Pelodiscus sinensis: one gene and its partner. The protein of the gene in region 1 interacts with the protein of each later gene in a biochemical or structural test. Links are inferred from orthologs where the notes say so. Each region holds a gene or a part of one and is shown on either strand. Other genes may lie near its edges.

Region 1 (7,561 bases):
AAGAGAGCTTTAAACTAGGAATTTGGGGGAGACGGTTGGGAGATGCCCAGGTAATCTCTACGCCAGATTTTAACACTGAGAAGGAGGAAAATGAAGTAAGAAAGGATATAGCTGGGGGTATGAGAATGAACATGAGGAAGGGTAGGGTGGATACTAGTCTAATAGGTCATATTGGAGGTATAATGTCCGTGCCAAATTGGGTAAAGAATGTGAATGAGGCCAAACAGCAAAAATTAAGATGTTTGTACACCAATGCGAGGAGCCTAGGTAACAAAAAGGAGGAACTAGAGTTATTGGTCCAGGAAGTGAAACCAGATATTATAGGAATAACAGAAACATGGTGGAATACTAGGCATGACTGGAGTACAGGTATTGAAGGGTATGTGCTGTTTAGGAAAGACAGAAATAAGGGTAAAGGTGGTGGAGTCGCATTGTATATCAAAGATGAGGTAGATTGTAAAGAAATAAAAAGTGATGGAATGGAGAAGACAGAGTCCGTTTGGGCAAAAATCACATTGGGGAAGAAAACTACCAGATCCTCCCCTGGGATAGTGCTTGGGGTGTGTTATAGACCACCAGGATCCAATTTTGACATGGATAGAGACCTCTTTAATGTTTTTAATGAAGTAAATACTCATGGAAACTGCGTAATCATGGGAGATTTCAACTTTCCAGATATAGACTGGAGAACAAGTGCTAGTAATAATATTAGGGCTCAGATTTTCCTAGATGTGATAGCTGATGAATTCCTTCATCAGGTAGTTGCTGAACCAATAAGGGGGGATGCTATTTTAGATTTGGTTTTGGTGAGTAGCGAAGACCTCATAGATGAAATGGTTGTAGGAGACAACCTTGTCTCGAGTGATCATGAGCTAATTCAGTTTAAATTAAATGGAAGGATAAACAAAAATAAATCTGAGACTTGGGTTTTTGATTTCAAAAGAGCTAACTTTAGTAAATTAAGGAAATTAGTTAGGGAAGTTAATTGGACTAAAGAAATTATGGATCTTAAAGTGGAGGAGGCCTGGAATTATTTTAAGTTAAAGTTGCAGAAGCTGTCAGAAGCCTGTATCCCTAGAAAAGGGAAAAAAATTATAGGCAGGTGTGTTAGACCAAGCATCTCAGGGTATGTCTACACTACCCCACTAGTTCGAACTAGCGGGGTAATGTAGGCATACCGCACTTGCAAATGAAGCCCGGGATTTGAATTTCCTGGGCTTCATTTGCATAAGCGGGGCGCCGCCATTTTTAAAACCCCACTCGTTCGAACCCCGTGCAACGCGGCTACACGGGGCATGAACTAGGTAGTTCGAACTAGGCTTCCTGGAATGAGGAGTAACGGTAGTTCGAACTAGGGAATTAAAACCAATAGTAAAAGGTTTTATAGCCATATAAATAGGAAAAAAACAAAAAAAGAAGAAGTAGGACCACTAATTACTAAGGATGGAGTGGAGGTTAAGGATAATCTAGGAATGGCCCAATATTTGAACAAATACTTTGCTTCAGTCTTTAATGAGGCTAATGAAGAGCTTAGGGATAATGGTAAGTTAACAAATGGGACTAAAGATAAGGAGGTAGATATTACCATATCCGAGGTAAAAGCCAAACTTGAACAGCTTAATAGGAGTAAATCGGGGGGCCCAGATAATCTTCATCCAAGAATATTAAAGGAACTGGCACATGAACTTGCAAGTCCATTAGCAAAATTTTTTAATAAATCTCTAAACTCAGGGGTTGTACCATTTGACTGGAGAATTGCTAATATAGTTCCGATTTTTAAGAAAGGAAAAAAAAGCGACCCGGGTAACTATAGGCCTGTTAGTTTGACATCTGTAGTATGTAAGATCCTGGAAAAAATTTTGAAGGAGAAAGTAGTTAGAGACATTGAGGCTAATGGCAATTGGGACAAATTACAACATGGTTTTACAAAAGGTAGATCTTGCCAAACCAACCTGATCTCCTTTTTTGAGAAAGTAACAGATTTTTTAGATAAAGGAAATGCAGTGGATCTAATCTACCTCGACTTTAGTAAGGCATTTGATACAGTACCACATGGGGAATTATTGGTTAAATTGGAAAAGATAGGGATTAATATGAAAGTTGAGAGGTGGATAAGCAACTGGTTAAAGGGGAGACTACAGCGGGTCATATTGAAAGGTGAACTGTCAGGTTGGAGGAAGGTTACTAGCGGAGTTCCTCAGGGATCAGTTGTGGGGCCAATTTTATTTAATCTTTTTATTGCTGATCTTGGCACCAAAAGTGGAAGTGTTCTAATAAAATTTGCGGATGACACAAAGTTGGGAGCTATTGCCAATTCAGAAAAGGATCGGGATATCATACAGGAAGATCTGGATGATCTTGTAAATTGGAGTGATAGTAATAGGATGAAATTTAATAGTGAGAAGTGTAAGGTTATGCATTTAGGGATTAATAACAAGAATTTTAGTTATAAGCTGGGGACACATCAGTTGGAAGTAACGGAGGAGGAGAAGGACCTCAGAGTCCTGGTTGATTATAGAATGATTATGAGCCGCCATTGTGACATGGCCGTGAAAAAGGCTAATACGATCTTGGGATGTATTAGGCGAGGTATTTCCAGTAGGGATAAGGAGGTGTTAGTGCCATTATACAAGGCATTGGTGAGACCCCATTTGGAATACTGTGTGCAGTTCTGGTCTCCCATGTATAAGAAGGATGAATTCAAACTGGAACAGGTACAAAGAAGGGCCACTAGGATGATCGGAGGAATGGAAAACCTGTCTTATGAAAGGAGACTCAAGGAGCTTGGCTCGTTTACTTTAACCAAAAGAAGGCTGAGGGGGGACATGATTGCACTTTTTAAATATATTAGAGGGATAAATACCAGGGAGGGAGAGGAATTATTTAAGTTTAATACCAATGTGGACACAAGAACAAATGGATATAAGCTGGCTAGTAGGAAGTTTAGACTTGAGATTAGACGAAGGTTTCTAACCATTAGAGGAGTGAAGTTCTGGAACGGCCTTCCAAGGGAAGTAGTGGGGGCAAAAGATCTATCTGGTTTCAAGATTAAACTAGATGGGTTTATGAAGGGGATGGTTTGATGAAATAACATGATCTTGGTAACTAATTGACCATTCATTATCAGTGGGAAATAGGTCAATGGAGGGATGATAGGAGTTACTATAGAGAACTTTCTGGGTGTCTGGCTGATGAGTCTTGCCCACATGCTCAGGGTTTAGCTGATCGCCATATTTGGGGTTGGGAAGGAATTTTCCTCCAGGGTAGATTGGCAGAGGCCCTGGAGGTTTTTCGCCTTCCTCTGTAGCATGGGGTACAGATCACAGCTGGAGGATTCTCTGCATCCTGGGGTCTTCAAAGTATTTGAAGGCTTCAATATCTGAGATATAGGTGAGAGGATTATTCTAGGAGGGGTGGGTGAGATTTTGTGGCCTGCACTGTGCAGGGGGTCAGACTAGATGATCATAATGGTCCCTTCTGACCTTAAAGTCTATGGCTACGTCTACATTGGCCCCTTTTCCGGAAGGGGCATGCTAATTTGACAGGTCGTAATAGGGAAATCCGCGGGGGATTTAAATATCAGTTCCTACTTTGAAGTAGGAATAAGAGATCCTCCGGAAAAGGGCTTTTTTCCAGAGGATCAGGCCGGATCGGGGCCAGTATAGACGCTCTTTTCCGGCTTTTCTAAAAGCCGGAAAAAAAGTGGCGGACATTTTTATTTAAATGTTGCGGGGGGGTATTTAAATCCCCCGCAGATTTCCCTATTATGATCTGAAAAATTAGCATGCCCCTTCCGGAAAAGGGGCCAATGTCGACGAGCCCTATGAGTCTATGAATCACAGGATTAAGACAAAAATCTGAGGGTTTGTTGTTTTTTTTTTTTTGTAAAGAAATTGCGAGTCCTGCTGTAAAGCTTGAAGATGGCTGGGAGCTTCCTTCTAAACATTCTAGGGGGTGGCAACAGGAGCAGACCAGCCCCTCTCTCCCCGTGGACGCTGCTGCGCGCTGCTCTGTAGAATCGCGGAAGGGTTTTCAGCCAGTGGCGCCCGGCGGCCCTGGGCCAGTCAGGTGCTGAGCTGTGGCTGCAGGCGCTGGCCTGTCACAACGCGCCCCCAGAGACCCGCCCCCAGGCAGGCGGTGCTGTGGCTGGCAGGGCAGGGGCCCCCGCTGCTGGGGGGGGGGGCTGTGCTGCCGGATCAAGGTGCCTGCCGCACGGTTTGTGCTGTGACTCTTCAGCCAGCCCGATGGGAACTGAGGAGACAGGCGTGGCGGAGAGTGGGGGGGGGAGGGGAGGAGGAGAGTGTGTGTGTGTGGGGGGGGGGGTGGAATGTGTTTACGTCCTTGCCTCCCCCGCCTCCCCGGGGGCAGGGCAGGAGGCGGGGCCAGACCAAACGCGGCGCCTATCCCCTTAAGAGCGGCTAGCGCGGGGGGGGCGACGCGGATTGGCGGGACCGGCTCCAAGGCGCAGAGCTGTGATTGGGTGCCGGGTTGCCGTAGCCAAGGGAGACGGGACTAGGAGAAGCCGGAAGTGGGCGGTGGCGCGCGCGAGCGCGAGGAGCGCGTCGGGGGCGGCTGGCTGCCGGGAGGCGCAGGCTGGGAGGCAGCAGGCGCGCGGCGGGGCCATGGGCTGCTTCTTCTCCAAGCGGCGGAAAGCGGCGAAGGGGGGCGCGCAGGGCCAGGAGCCCCCGGCCGCGGGCGAGGAGAAGCCGCAGTACAGCTGGGACCAGCGCGACAAGGTAACGCTGCCCCCGACCCCCCCCCCTCCGGTGCTCCCTGGCGGGCGGTTTTCCCGGCGCTCGTGCTGCTCCCGTGGGGCTGTGGCGGACCCGGCTCTGCCGTAGCTGGTCTAGCCCCCGCCCCCCCTTCCCCTCCCCCGCAAGGTGGCGGGGCTCTGCTTTCGGGTCGGGAAGTTGCCTCCGCGGTCTCCCGGGCGCTTCAGAAAGTGAGATTGTCCCCGCCACTCCCCTGGGACTGTCGCTGACGCTCACCCTGGGCAGCAGCGTTTGATATTTGCCAGGCTTAATGCGACTCTTGCTACTGCTCCTTCTCCTCATCATCGTAAATTGCCCGCGTAGCCTTCCGTGGGGAGGGAGCTTGCGCTTTCCCCATCCTGCGGACCAAGTGCTGGCTTCCACTTCTGTTCCTTGTTATACTTGTCTGGGCGTGGTAGCATCGTCCCCATGAGAAGCAGGCGATGTGAACGCTAGCGTGCCAAAGGGGGAGGAATGGATTTCAGAGCTGAGGGCTGCCCATGAAAAATGGGATAAGTCAGACACTGGGTAGGTTGAGTACAGGTTGAACCTCTCTAGTCTGGCACCCTCAGGGCCTGACCAATGCTGATCCAGAGCATTTTATTTTCCAGACCATGGAAGTTGAGTTTTCTCTAGCAACATTACCAGCACTTCCACTGTTTACTGAGCTCTTGGAAAACAATTAGGGGTAAATTAGAGCTAAATAATAGCACAGAACACAGAGCTAGGACTGGTGGCTGTAAACAAACATTATGGGACTGCGGGGAAACTTGGCAGCAACCATAATAAATAGTCATCTAGCTAACTAAAATCCTGCTGGACCATGGATGTTGCCAGATGAGAGAATTTCAACCTGTAGCTCTAAAGTTTCAACCTGTAGCCCTACCAATCCTTTGTTTTAGGGTAGACTGTAATAGCCAACTGGGGCAAACTGCTCCTCTTCACAACACACTGCTTACTGGCTGGGCTGCCATATTCTGACAGTATTCTTTATAGGGCAAAATACATGCTAGTAGCATGAGGCTGTTTTTCACCCTCTCCCATTTAATTGGTACTGTAGCTTGTTCCTTTTTTGGCACTAAGTTAGCTGGTGACTGAGTTATATGGTAAGCGGTGGCAGATGGGGCCAAAGCTGTGTTTGTACCTTTATTTCTATTAATCCTCTGGCTTTCTAACCGTAATTAAAAGGGGTGGATGTTATGTACATTAGACACAAGTTAGAAAAAAAAGTAAAATTCAACTGCAGCTACAGAACCAAACTGACTTCTTGATTGAAATGCCTCTTTACCCAGGCATATTTAAAGTTAACCTAGCTATTTAGGGTTGCCAGGTGTCTGGTATTAAACCAGAGAGTTTGGTATTTTCGCCTCCTGTCTGGTAAAAAAAACTCAAAAAATACCAGACACCTAAAATGTCCGATACTTTCTGATTTCCCCCCCCCCCTCCCCCCGCCAGGAGGCAAAAATCCCATCCTGTCCGGCTCAATGCGGAGGCAGCCTGGCAACCCTATAGCTATTATGAGGTGTCAAGCATATGTGGAAGGCTTTTTTTTTTAAACTTGCATGTTATATTCTCTTAAGTGGTGTTTTATATTCCCCTGACACTCTTTACTTTTATTTGCTGGAGGTCCTTTTGGAGGCTCAGAAGTAGAGCTTCAGCTCAAAAAGTGACAGGATATGAGAGGGAGAGAGCGCGCTCTCTCTTTCAACAAAAAAGAATGTGAATAAAAATCCTTCTTTCATTTGTCACTTCATGTTTCACTTCCTTGGTACTTGTGATGTCATAATCCTGCTAGTTTTCCAGTCATCTATAGCTAAGACTTCCTGGAAAAAATAGAGCAATCTAGACATTCATTTTGTGCATGTGTTAAAACAAAAAACAGGCCACTTTTATGAGCCATAAAGAGAAAAACGGTATAAACTTTAAATATTGCGTACTTGATTTCTTTTTAAATGTGGCCAGATGCCCTGGTGTGACACACAAAGCTTTCTAGTGGATTATTCCAAGATTCGGGGTTAAGTATGTACAAATCTTGGAGGATAAGGACAAAGGAGGCTACCTCATGACTGACCTGATACTTCGATTTCCTAGTGAATACTTATGGCACAGCTTGCCTAATACAGTGCTTGCATAGGGAGGAGGGAGACCATGTTACTTATAGATGTTATTCCCTTGCCACAGTGTTACTGTTAGCAGTTACTACTACTTAGAGTGGTTTTTACTTGTAAAAGGGTACTACAGAAGTCACCAAAATATTAATCTCATTTAAAGTTAAAACAATTAAATTAGTCAACTACATTTTTGAGCCTGTTATTTTCAGCAACAAGAATAAGTTTAATATGAATTGATAGTTACAGTTACTGGCTAGCCCTGGGGAAAGAGGAAAGTCAAAACAAGTCATTAAGAGAAAATTCTATGCTCCTCCCTGAGCCCTCCTGCCTGCCCACCCCTTCGGTGTTATGCTGAGCTGATTTCTCGGAGGTGAATATATTACCACATTAGGAACAGTGTCTCAGACATTACAGTAGAGTACATTTGAAGTTAATGTTTGTAAAGTCTCTAATAGATTACAAAATTTTAAACAGTTCTCTGTATGAAAGAGAATCTCATTATTAAATATAAAGTTGTTGCACATAATGTTTATAGCCAATTGTGCAAGGGCTTCCTCTTTTCAGATATCACATGCAATGACTTCTGTCTTCTGAGTTCAGAGGACCATACTGAAAACCGCAGGATTAAATATTTAACTTTTGAATGTCTCAAGAAAGGTATATAGAAACTGCTTCAAATATTCATTACCCTTTCTCTTT
Region 2 (8,091 bases), on another chromosome or scaffold:
TGCTTGCACTGCCCCCCCCCACTGCAGCCCCCATTGGAGCCTTCCAGGCCCCTTGATGCTTGCACTGCCCCCCCCCCACTGCAGCCCCCATTGGAGCCTTCCAGGCCCCTTGATGCTTGCACTGCCCCCCCCCCACTGCAGCCCCCATTGCAGCCTTCCAGGCCCCTCGATGCATGCACTGCCCCCCCCCCCTGCAGCCCCCATTGGAGCCTTCCAGGCCCCTCGATGCATGCACTGCCCCCCCCCCCTGCAGCCCCCATTGCAGCCTTCCAGGCCCCTTGATGCTTGCACTGCCCCCCCCCCCTGCAGCCCCCATTGGAGCCGTCCAGGCCCCTTGATGCTTGCACTGCCCCCCCCCCCCCGCAGCCCCCATTGGAGCCTTCCAGGCCCCTTGATGCTTGCACTGCCCCCCCCCCCTGCAACCCCCATTGCAGCCTTCCAGGCCCCTTGATGCTTGCACTGCCCCCCCCCCCCGCAGCCCCCATTGGAGCCTTCCAGGCCCCTTGATGCTTGCACTGCCCCCCCCCCACTGCAGCCCCCATTGGAGCCTTCCAGGCCCCTTGATGCTTGCACTGCCCCCCCCCCCCTGCAGCCCCCATTGGAGCCTTCCAGGCCCCTTGATGCTTGCACTGCCCCCCCCCACTGCAGTCCCCATTGGAGCCTTCCAGGCCCCTTGATGCTTGCACTGCCCCCCCCCCCCTGCAGCCCCCATTGGAGCCTTCCAGGCCCCTTGATGCTTGCACTGCCCCCCCCCCACTGCAGCCCCCATTGCAGCCTTCCAGGCCCCTTGATGCTTGCACTGCCCCCCCCCCCCTGCAGCCCCCATTGGAGCCTTCCAGGCCCCTTGATGCTTGCACTGCCCCCCCCCCCCTGCAGCCCCCATTGCAGCCTTCCAGGCCCCTTGATGCTTGCACTGCCCCCCCCCCCTGCAGCCCCCATTGCAGCCTTCCAGGCCCCTTGATGCTTGCACTGCCCCCCCCCCCTGCAGCCCCCATTGGAGCCTTCCAGGCCCCTTGATGCTTGCACTGCCCCCCTCCCACTGCAGCCCCCATTGGAGCCTTCCAGGCCCCTTGATGCTTGCACTGCCCCCCCCCCCCCCCTGCGGCCCCCATTGCAGCCTTCCAGGCCCCTTGATGCTTGCACTGCCCCCCCCCCACTGCAGCCCCCATTGCAGCCTTCCAGGCCCCTTGATGCATGCACTGCCCCCCTCCCACTGCAGCCCCCATTGGAGCCTTCCAGGCCCCTTGATGCATGCACTGCCCCCCCCCCTGCAGCCCCCATTGGAGCCTTCCAGGCCCCTTGATGCTTGCACTGCCCCCCCCCCACTGCAGCCCCCATTGGAGCCTTCCAGGCCCCTTGATGCTTGCACTGCCCCCCCCCCACTGCAGCCCCCATTGCAGCCTTCCAGGCCCCTCGATGCATGCACTGCCCCCCCCCCCTGCAGCCCCCATTGGAGCCTTCCAGGCCCCTCGATGCATGCACTGCCCCCCCCCCCTGCAGCCCCCATTGCAGCCTTCCAGGCCCCTCGATGCATGCACTGCCCCCCCCCCCTGCAGCCCCCATTGCAGCCTTCCAGGCCCCTTGATGCTTGCACTGCCCCCCTCCCACTGCAGCCCCCATTGGAGCCTTCCAGGCCCCTTGATGCTTGCACTGCCCCCCCCCCCCCCCTGCGGCCCCCATTGCAGCCTTCCAGGCCCCTTGATGCTTGCACTGCCCCCCCCCCCACTGCAGCCCCCATTGCAGCCTTCCAGGCCCCTTGATGCATGCACTGCCCCCCTCCCACTGCAGCCCCCATTGGAGCCTTCCAGGCCCCTTGATGCATGCACTGCCCCCCCCCCTGCAGCCCCCATTGGAGCCTTCCAGGCCCCTTGATGCTTGCACTGCCCCCCCCCCACTGCAGCCCCCATTGGAGCCTTCCAGGCCCCTTGATGCTTGCACTGCCCCCCCCCCACTGCAGCCCCCATTGCAGCCTTCCAGGCCCCTCGATGCATGCACTGCCCCCCCCCCCTGCAGCCCCCATTGGAGCCTTCCAGGCCCCTCGATGCATGCACTGCCCCCCCCCCCTGCAGCCCCCATTGCAGCCTTCCAGGCCCCTCGATGCATGCACTGCCCCCCCCCCCCTGCAGCCCCCATTGCAGCCTTCCAGGCCCCTTGATGCTTGCACTGCCCCCCCCCCCTGCAGCCCCCATTGGAGCCGTCCAGGCCCCTTGATGCTTGCACTGCCCCCCCCCCCCCGCAGCCCCCATTGGAGCCTTCCAGGCCCCTTGATGCTTGCACTGCCCCCCCCCCCTGCAGCCCCCATTGGAGCCGTCCAGGCCCCTTGATGCTTGCACTGCCCCCCCCCCCTGCAGCCCCCATTGGAGCCTTCCAGGCCCCTTGATGCTTGCACTGCCCCCCCCCCCCGCAGCCCCCATTGGAGCCTTCCAGGCCCCTTGATGCTTGCACTGCCCCCCCCCCCACTGCAGCCCCCATTGGAGCCTTCCAGGCCCCTTGATGCTTGCACTGCCCCCCCCCCCCCGCAGCCCCCATTGGAGCCTTCCAGGCCCCTTGATGCTTGCACTGCCCCCCCCCCCCTGCAGCCCCCATTGGAGCCTTCCAGGCCCCTTGATGCTTGCACTGCCCCCCTCCCACTGCAGCCCCCATTGGAGCCTTCCAGGCCCCTTGATGCATGCACTGCCCCCCCCCCTGCAGCCCCCATTGGAGCCTTCCAGGCCCCTTGATGCTTGCACTGCCCCCCCCCCCCTGCAGCCCCCATTGGAGCCGTCCAGGCCCCTTGATGCTTGCACTGCCCCCCCCCCACTGCAGCCCCCATTGCAGCCTTCCAGGCCCCTTGATGCATGCACTGCCCCCCTCCCACTGCAGCCCCCATTGCAGCCTTCCAGGCCCCTTGATGCTTGCACTGCCCCCCCCCCCCTGCAGCCCCCATTGGAGCCGTCCAGGCCCCTTGATGCTTGCACTGCCCCCCCCCCACTGCAGCCCCCATTGCAGCCTTCCAGGCCCCTTGATGCTTGCACTGCCCCCCCCCCCCTGCAGCCCCCATTGGAGCCTTCCAGGCCCCTTGATGCTTGCACTGCCCCCCCCCCCCTGCAGCCCCCATTGCAGCCTTCCAGGCCCCTTGATGCTTGCACTGCCCCCCCCCCCACTGCAGCCCCCATTGCAGCCTTCCAGGCCCCTTGATGCATGCACTGCCCCCCCCCCCCTGCAGCCCCCATTGCAGCCTTCCAGGCCCCTTGATGCATGCACTGCCCCCCCCCCCCTGCAGCCCCCATTGCAGCCTTCCAGGCCCCTTGATGCTTGCACTGCCCCCCCCCCTGCAGCCCCCATTGCAGCCTTCCAGGCCCCTTGATGCTTGCACTGCCCCCCCCCCTGCAACCCCCATTGCAGCCTTCCAGGCCCCTTGATGCTTGCACTGCCCCCCCCCCTGCAGCCCCCATTGCAGCCTTCCAGGCCCCTTGATGCTTGCACTGCCCCCCTCCCACTGCAGCCCCCATTGGAGCCTTCCAGGCCCCTTGATGCTTGCACTGCCCCCCCCCACTGCAGCCCCCATTGGAGCCTTCCAGGCCCCTTGATGCTTGCACTGCCCCCCTCCCACTGCAGCCCCCATTGGAGCCTTCCAGGCCCCTTGATGCTTGCACTGCCCCCCCCCCCCTGCAGCCCCCATTGGAGCCTTCCAGGCCCCTTGATGCTTGCACTGCCCCCCCCCCCCTGCAGCCCCCATTGCAGCCTTCCAGGCCCCTTGATGCTTGCACTGCCCCCCCCCCCTGCGGCCCCCATTGCAGCCTTCCAGGCCCCTTGATGCTTGCACTGCCCCCCTCCCACTGCAGCCCCCATTGGAGCCTTCCAGGCCCCTTGATGCTTGCACTGCCCCCCCCCCCTGCAGCCCCCATTGGAGCCTTCCAGGCCCCTTGATGCATGCACTGCCCCCCTCCCACTGCAGCCCCCATTGGAGCCTTCCAGGCCCCTTGATGCATGCACTGCCCCCCCCCCCTGCAGCCCCCATTGGAGCCTTCCAGGCCCCTTGATGCTTGCACTGCCCCCCCCCCCCTGCAGCCCCCATTGGAGCCTTCCAGGCCCCTTGATGCATGCACTGCCCCCCTCCCACTGCAGCCCCCATTGCAGCCTTCCAGGCCCCTTGATGCATGCACTGCCCCCCCCCCTGCAGCCCCCATTGCAGCCTTCCAGGCCCCTTGATGCTTGCACTGCCCCCCCCCCTGCAGCCCCCATTGCAGCCTTCCAGGCCCCTTGATGCTTGCACTGCCCCCCCCCCTGCAGCCCCCATTGGAGCCTTCCAGGCCCCTTGATGCTTGCACTGCCCCCCCACTGCAGCCCCCATTGCAGCCTTCCAGGCCCCTTGATGCTTGCACTGCCCCCCCCCTGCAGCCCCCATTGCAGCCTTCCAGGCCCCTTGATGCTTGCACTGCCCCCCCCCTGCAGCCCCCATTGCAGCCTTCCAGGCCCCTTGATGCTTGCACTGCCCCCCCCCCTGCAGCCCCCATTGCAGCCTTCCAGGCCCCTTGATGCTTGCACTGCCCCCCCACTGCAGCCCCCATTGCAGCCTTCCAGGCCCCTTGATGCTTGCACTGCCCCCCCACTGCAGCCCCCATTGCAGCCTTCCAGGCCCCTTCAGCCTTGCACTGCCCCCCCCCCTGCAGCCCCCCTTGCAGTGCAGTACCCCTGAGCCCTGCACTGGTGCACCGCTCTCCCTCTAAACCCCTCCCCATTAGGCTCCTTCCCTGCTCCCTACCTCCGCAGCCCAGGCACGCGCCCCTCTCCCTCTCTCCGGCACACGTGGTTTTCACCGCCCCTCTCCCTAACGCGTGGCCCTTGTCAGCCAATCAGAGCCAGCCTCCCACCTTGCTCGCGTCAGCATGGGACCTGGGAGCCAAGGCGGTTTAAGACGCATGCGCCGGACAGGGGCCGCCCTGCTCGGGGAGAAGGAGGGGAGGGGGGGATCGCCAGGGGGCGGGGCTTACGTCTGTCCCCGCCCCCTTGCCGCTAGTGCGTGCCGCAGAGAAGAGTGACGTTGCACGAAGGGGGCGGCGCGCATGACGCAGTTGCCCATGGTAACCCGGGAGCCGCGCGGAGGATGGTGAGTGCGGCCAGGGAGGGTCCTGCCGTGTGGGGGAGGGGCGGGGGGCAGCCTGGCTGGGGGGGCTCGGGTGATATGGAGAGCCAGGGAGGGGCTGGGGTGTGGACCCAGCCTGGGGGGGCTGGGGTCGAGCCTGGGGGGGAGGGGGGGCGGGGGTGTGGACCCAGCCTGGGGGGGCTGGGGTCGAGCCTGGGGGGGAGGGGGGGCTGGGGTGTGGACCGAGCCTGGGGGGGAGGGGGTGTTGGTACCCAGCCTGGGGGGGGGCTGGGGTCGAGCCTGGGGGGGAGGGGGGGCTGGGGTGTGGACCGAGCCTGGGGGGGAGGGGGTGTTGGTACCCAGCCTGGGGGGAGGCTGGGGTCGATCCTGGGGGGGAGGGGGGGCTGGGGTGTGGACCGATCCTGGGGGGGAGGGGGAGCTGGGGTGTTGGGACCGAGCCTGGAAGGGGAAAAGGGGGTGTTGGGACTGAGCCTGGGGAGGGGGGGGGCTGGGGTGTTGGGACCGAGCCTCAGGGGGAGGTGGGAAGGGGAGACTGGGGTGTTGGGACTGAGCCTGGGGGGAGGGTGGGGATCTGAGGGTCACAGCCAGGCTGGGGAGAGATGGGTGGTGATGAGATGGGGTGGGGGGTTAAGGTGCTATGGAGAGAGGGATGGGGGTCCAGTCTAGATGAGGAAGGGACTGGAGGGGTCAGCCTGGGTGGGGAGGAAGCAGTGTTGGGGCCTGGGGTTCTGAGAGCCAGGCCTGGATGAAGAGGGTAGGATGGGTGCTGGAGTGCTATGAAGAGGGAGGGAGGGAGGAATGGGGAACCGGCCTGGGAGCCTTCTTGAAAGGGAAAGGACAGGCAGGCACTCAGAAGTTTCAGGCATACGGGGCGAGGGTGGGAAGGGGCTGAGACAACTGCTGCAGGGAAGCATCCCATCCCACCGTGTGCAGGGGCAGGAGGACTAGCCTTAGGGCAGGATGGTGGGTTTGCTGGCTGTGTGCAGAAACTAAAGGGACAAGCTTATGACAATGGGACAAAGGGATGAACAGCTTCCAGTAACCCTACATATAGGGGGCTGCATTCAGTCCTCTGGTCCATAGAGATGTGGGCCTAGTTTTGCACATATTGGTCCAGGGCAAGGGGCAACCATATTTCCCCTATTTGTGGAGCTACAAGGATAGCATGCTAGGAACATAGCACATGCAGCATCTTTACTGTGATGATGTTGCATGCTATATTCCTCACCCATTCTAGCCTGCAATGCTTTACCCTGACCTATCATAAAAGATGTGGAGACAAAGATTAGGTAGGGACTCTGCTCCTTTGCTGGTTAGTTGATGGTGGGGCAGCTTTACATACTAGACACAGTGTTCATCGCAGGAAATACATCTGCTTTAAGATGAGGGCAATTACATAATGCAGTGTAGCACTCCACAAACTACGCTTTCACTTGGGCAGTGGTTGCTGACAAAGTTGCACTTCTGCTTTGTAAAGTTTGGGATATGCTGACAAACGATGAAGGAAAAAGATTAACAGCTTCCAACATCTGTGTTGACATTTAATTACATTTTGTAGGACCACTTTTGCAAGAAAACTATGTCTGTGGATTTGAGCGGGAAAAACATTCTAGGTGAATTGACTCCAGCAAATGCAGGGGGGAAAATGTATGCATTGATTGATATCATAGTCTAGAGTTTGCATAACAAGTAATTGAGTTAATTTTGCCTGTGTTAGTAGTAGTACTGAATAACCTGTGCTTAATAGATTAAGATGCTCCCATTGTTTTGAAAAAGGTTTAGTGCTTTTATATAACAGCGATAGTTATGCAGGCTAAGAGAAAGGTAATCAGACTTCTTCAGGGCATCAGCTAATCGGCTGCAGTAAGTGTGCACCCTTACACGCTGTGTACAGAATTACACAATGAACTAGGAATGAAACATCAGCTACTAGCCACCACTGATGGCATATTAGACTCAGTAGACCATTTGTTTGATCCGAACTGGCAAATACTATATAAATGCAGTGAAACCTTCCTGCTGGCATCCTCTGTCTTAAGCAATGATTTTAGAATTATTATTACTCACTACTGCAGAGTGCAGGAGCCTCAGTTATGGGTGAGGACCCCACTGTGCTAGGCACTGTACAAACACAGAACAAAAAGATAGGGAAAGGAACTAGGAGCTTACAGCCTAAAATAAGAGACCGCAGATGAAGATAGACCAGTGGGAGAGTACAGGGAAACGAGACAATGCTGGTCAGCATGGAAGGCAGTGATCTTGGCACAACTTAAAAGTGTGGTCAATACTTTTGTAGACATAATGGAAAAGGAGGGTTTTGAAGAAGGCGAATGAGGTAGCTCTGCAGATGTTTACAGGAAATCTTCCTAAGTCTGATTAGAAGAAAGCACAAAAATGCTTGTCCTGAAATTTAACAAATGGACAATGGAGGCTTGTACCATGGGCTGATCAGAGGCAGGAGTCATAGAATCATAGAATAATAGGACTGGAAGGGACCTCGAGAGGTCATCGAGTCCAGCCCCCCGCCCTCAAGGCAGGACCAAGCTCCGTCTACACCATCCCTGTCAGATGTCTATCTAACCTGTTCTTAAATATCTCCAGAGAGGGAGATTCCACCACCTCCCTTGGCAATTTATTCCAATATTTGACCACCCTGACAGTTAGGAATTTTTTCCTAATGTCCAAGCTAAACCTCCCCTGCTGCACTTTAAGCCCATTACTCCTTGTCCTGTCCTCAGAAACCAAGAGGAACAAATTTTCTCCTTCCTCCTTGTGACACCCTTTTAGATATTTGAAAACCGCTATCATGTCCCCCCTTAATCTTCTTTTTTCCAAACTAAACAAGCCCAGTTCATGAAGCCTGGCTTCATAGGTCATGTTCTCTAGACCTTTAATCATTCTTGTCGCTCTTCTCTGTACCCTTTCCAATTTCTCCACATCTTTCTTGAAATGTGGCGCCCAGAACTGGACACAGTACTCCAGCTGAGGCCTAACTAGTGCAGAGA

What was found.
Region 2: the proteins of RP2 (region 1) and ARL3 form a complex in vitro, tested with the Homo sapiens proteins (2 studies listed by BioGRID). The link is inferred for Pelodiscus sinensis from reciprocal best matches to the Homo sapiens genes RP2 and ARL3.

What each region holds. Positions count from the first base shown.
Region 1 is NC_134711.1:225,182,649-225,190,209, reverse strand, and holds the start of RP2 (protein XRP2), read left to right. Parts: upstream 1-4,550; 5' UTR 4,551-4,622; coding exon 4,623-4,736; intron 4,737-7,561. UniProt on the Homo sapiens protein: Acts as a GTPase-activating protein (GAP) involved in trafficking between the Golgi and the ciliary membrane.
Region 2 is NC_134718.1:72,680,877-72,688,967, forward strand, and holds the start of ARL3 (ADP-ribosylation factor-like protein 3), read left to right. Parts: upstream 1-4,944; 5' UTR 4,945-5,086; coding exon 5,087-5,089; intron 5,090-8,091. UniProt on the Homo sapiens protein: Small GTP-binding protein which cycles between an inactive GDP-bound and an active GTP-bound form, and the rate of cycling is regulated by guanine nucleotide exchange factors (GEF) and GTPase-activating proteins (GAP).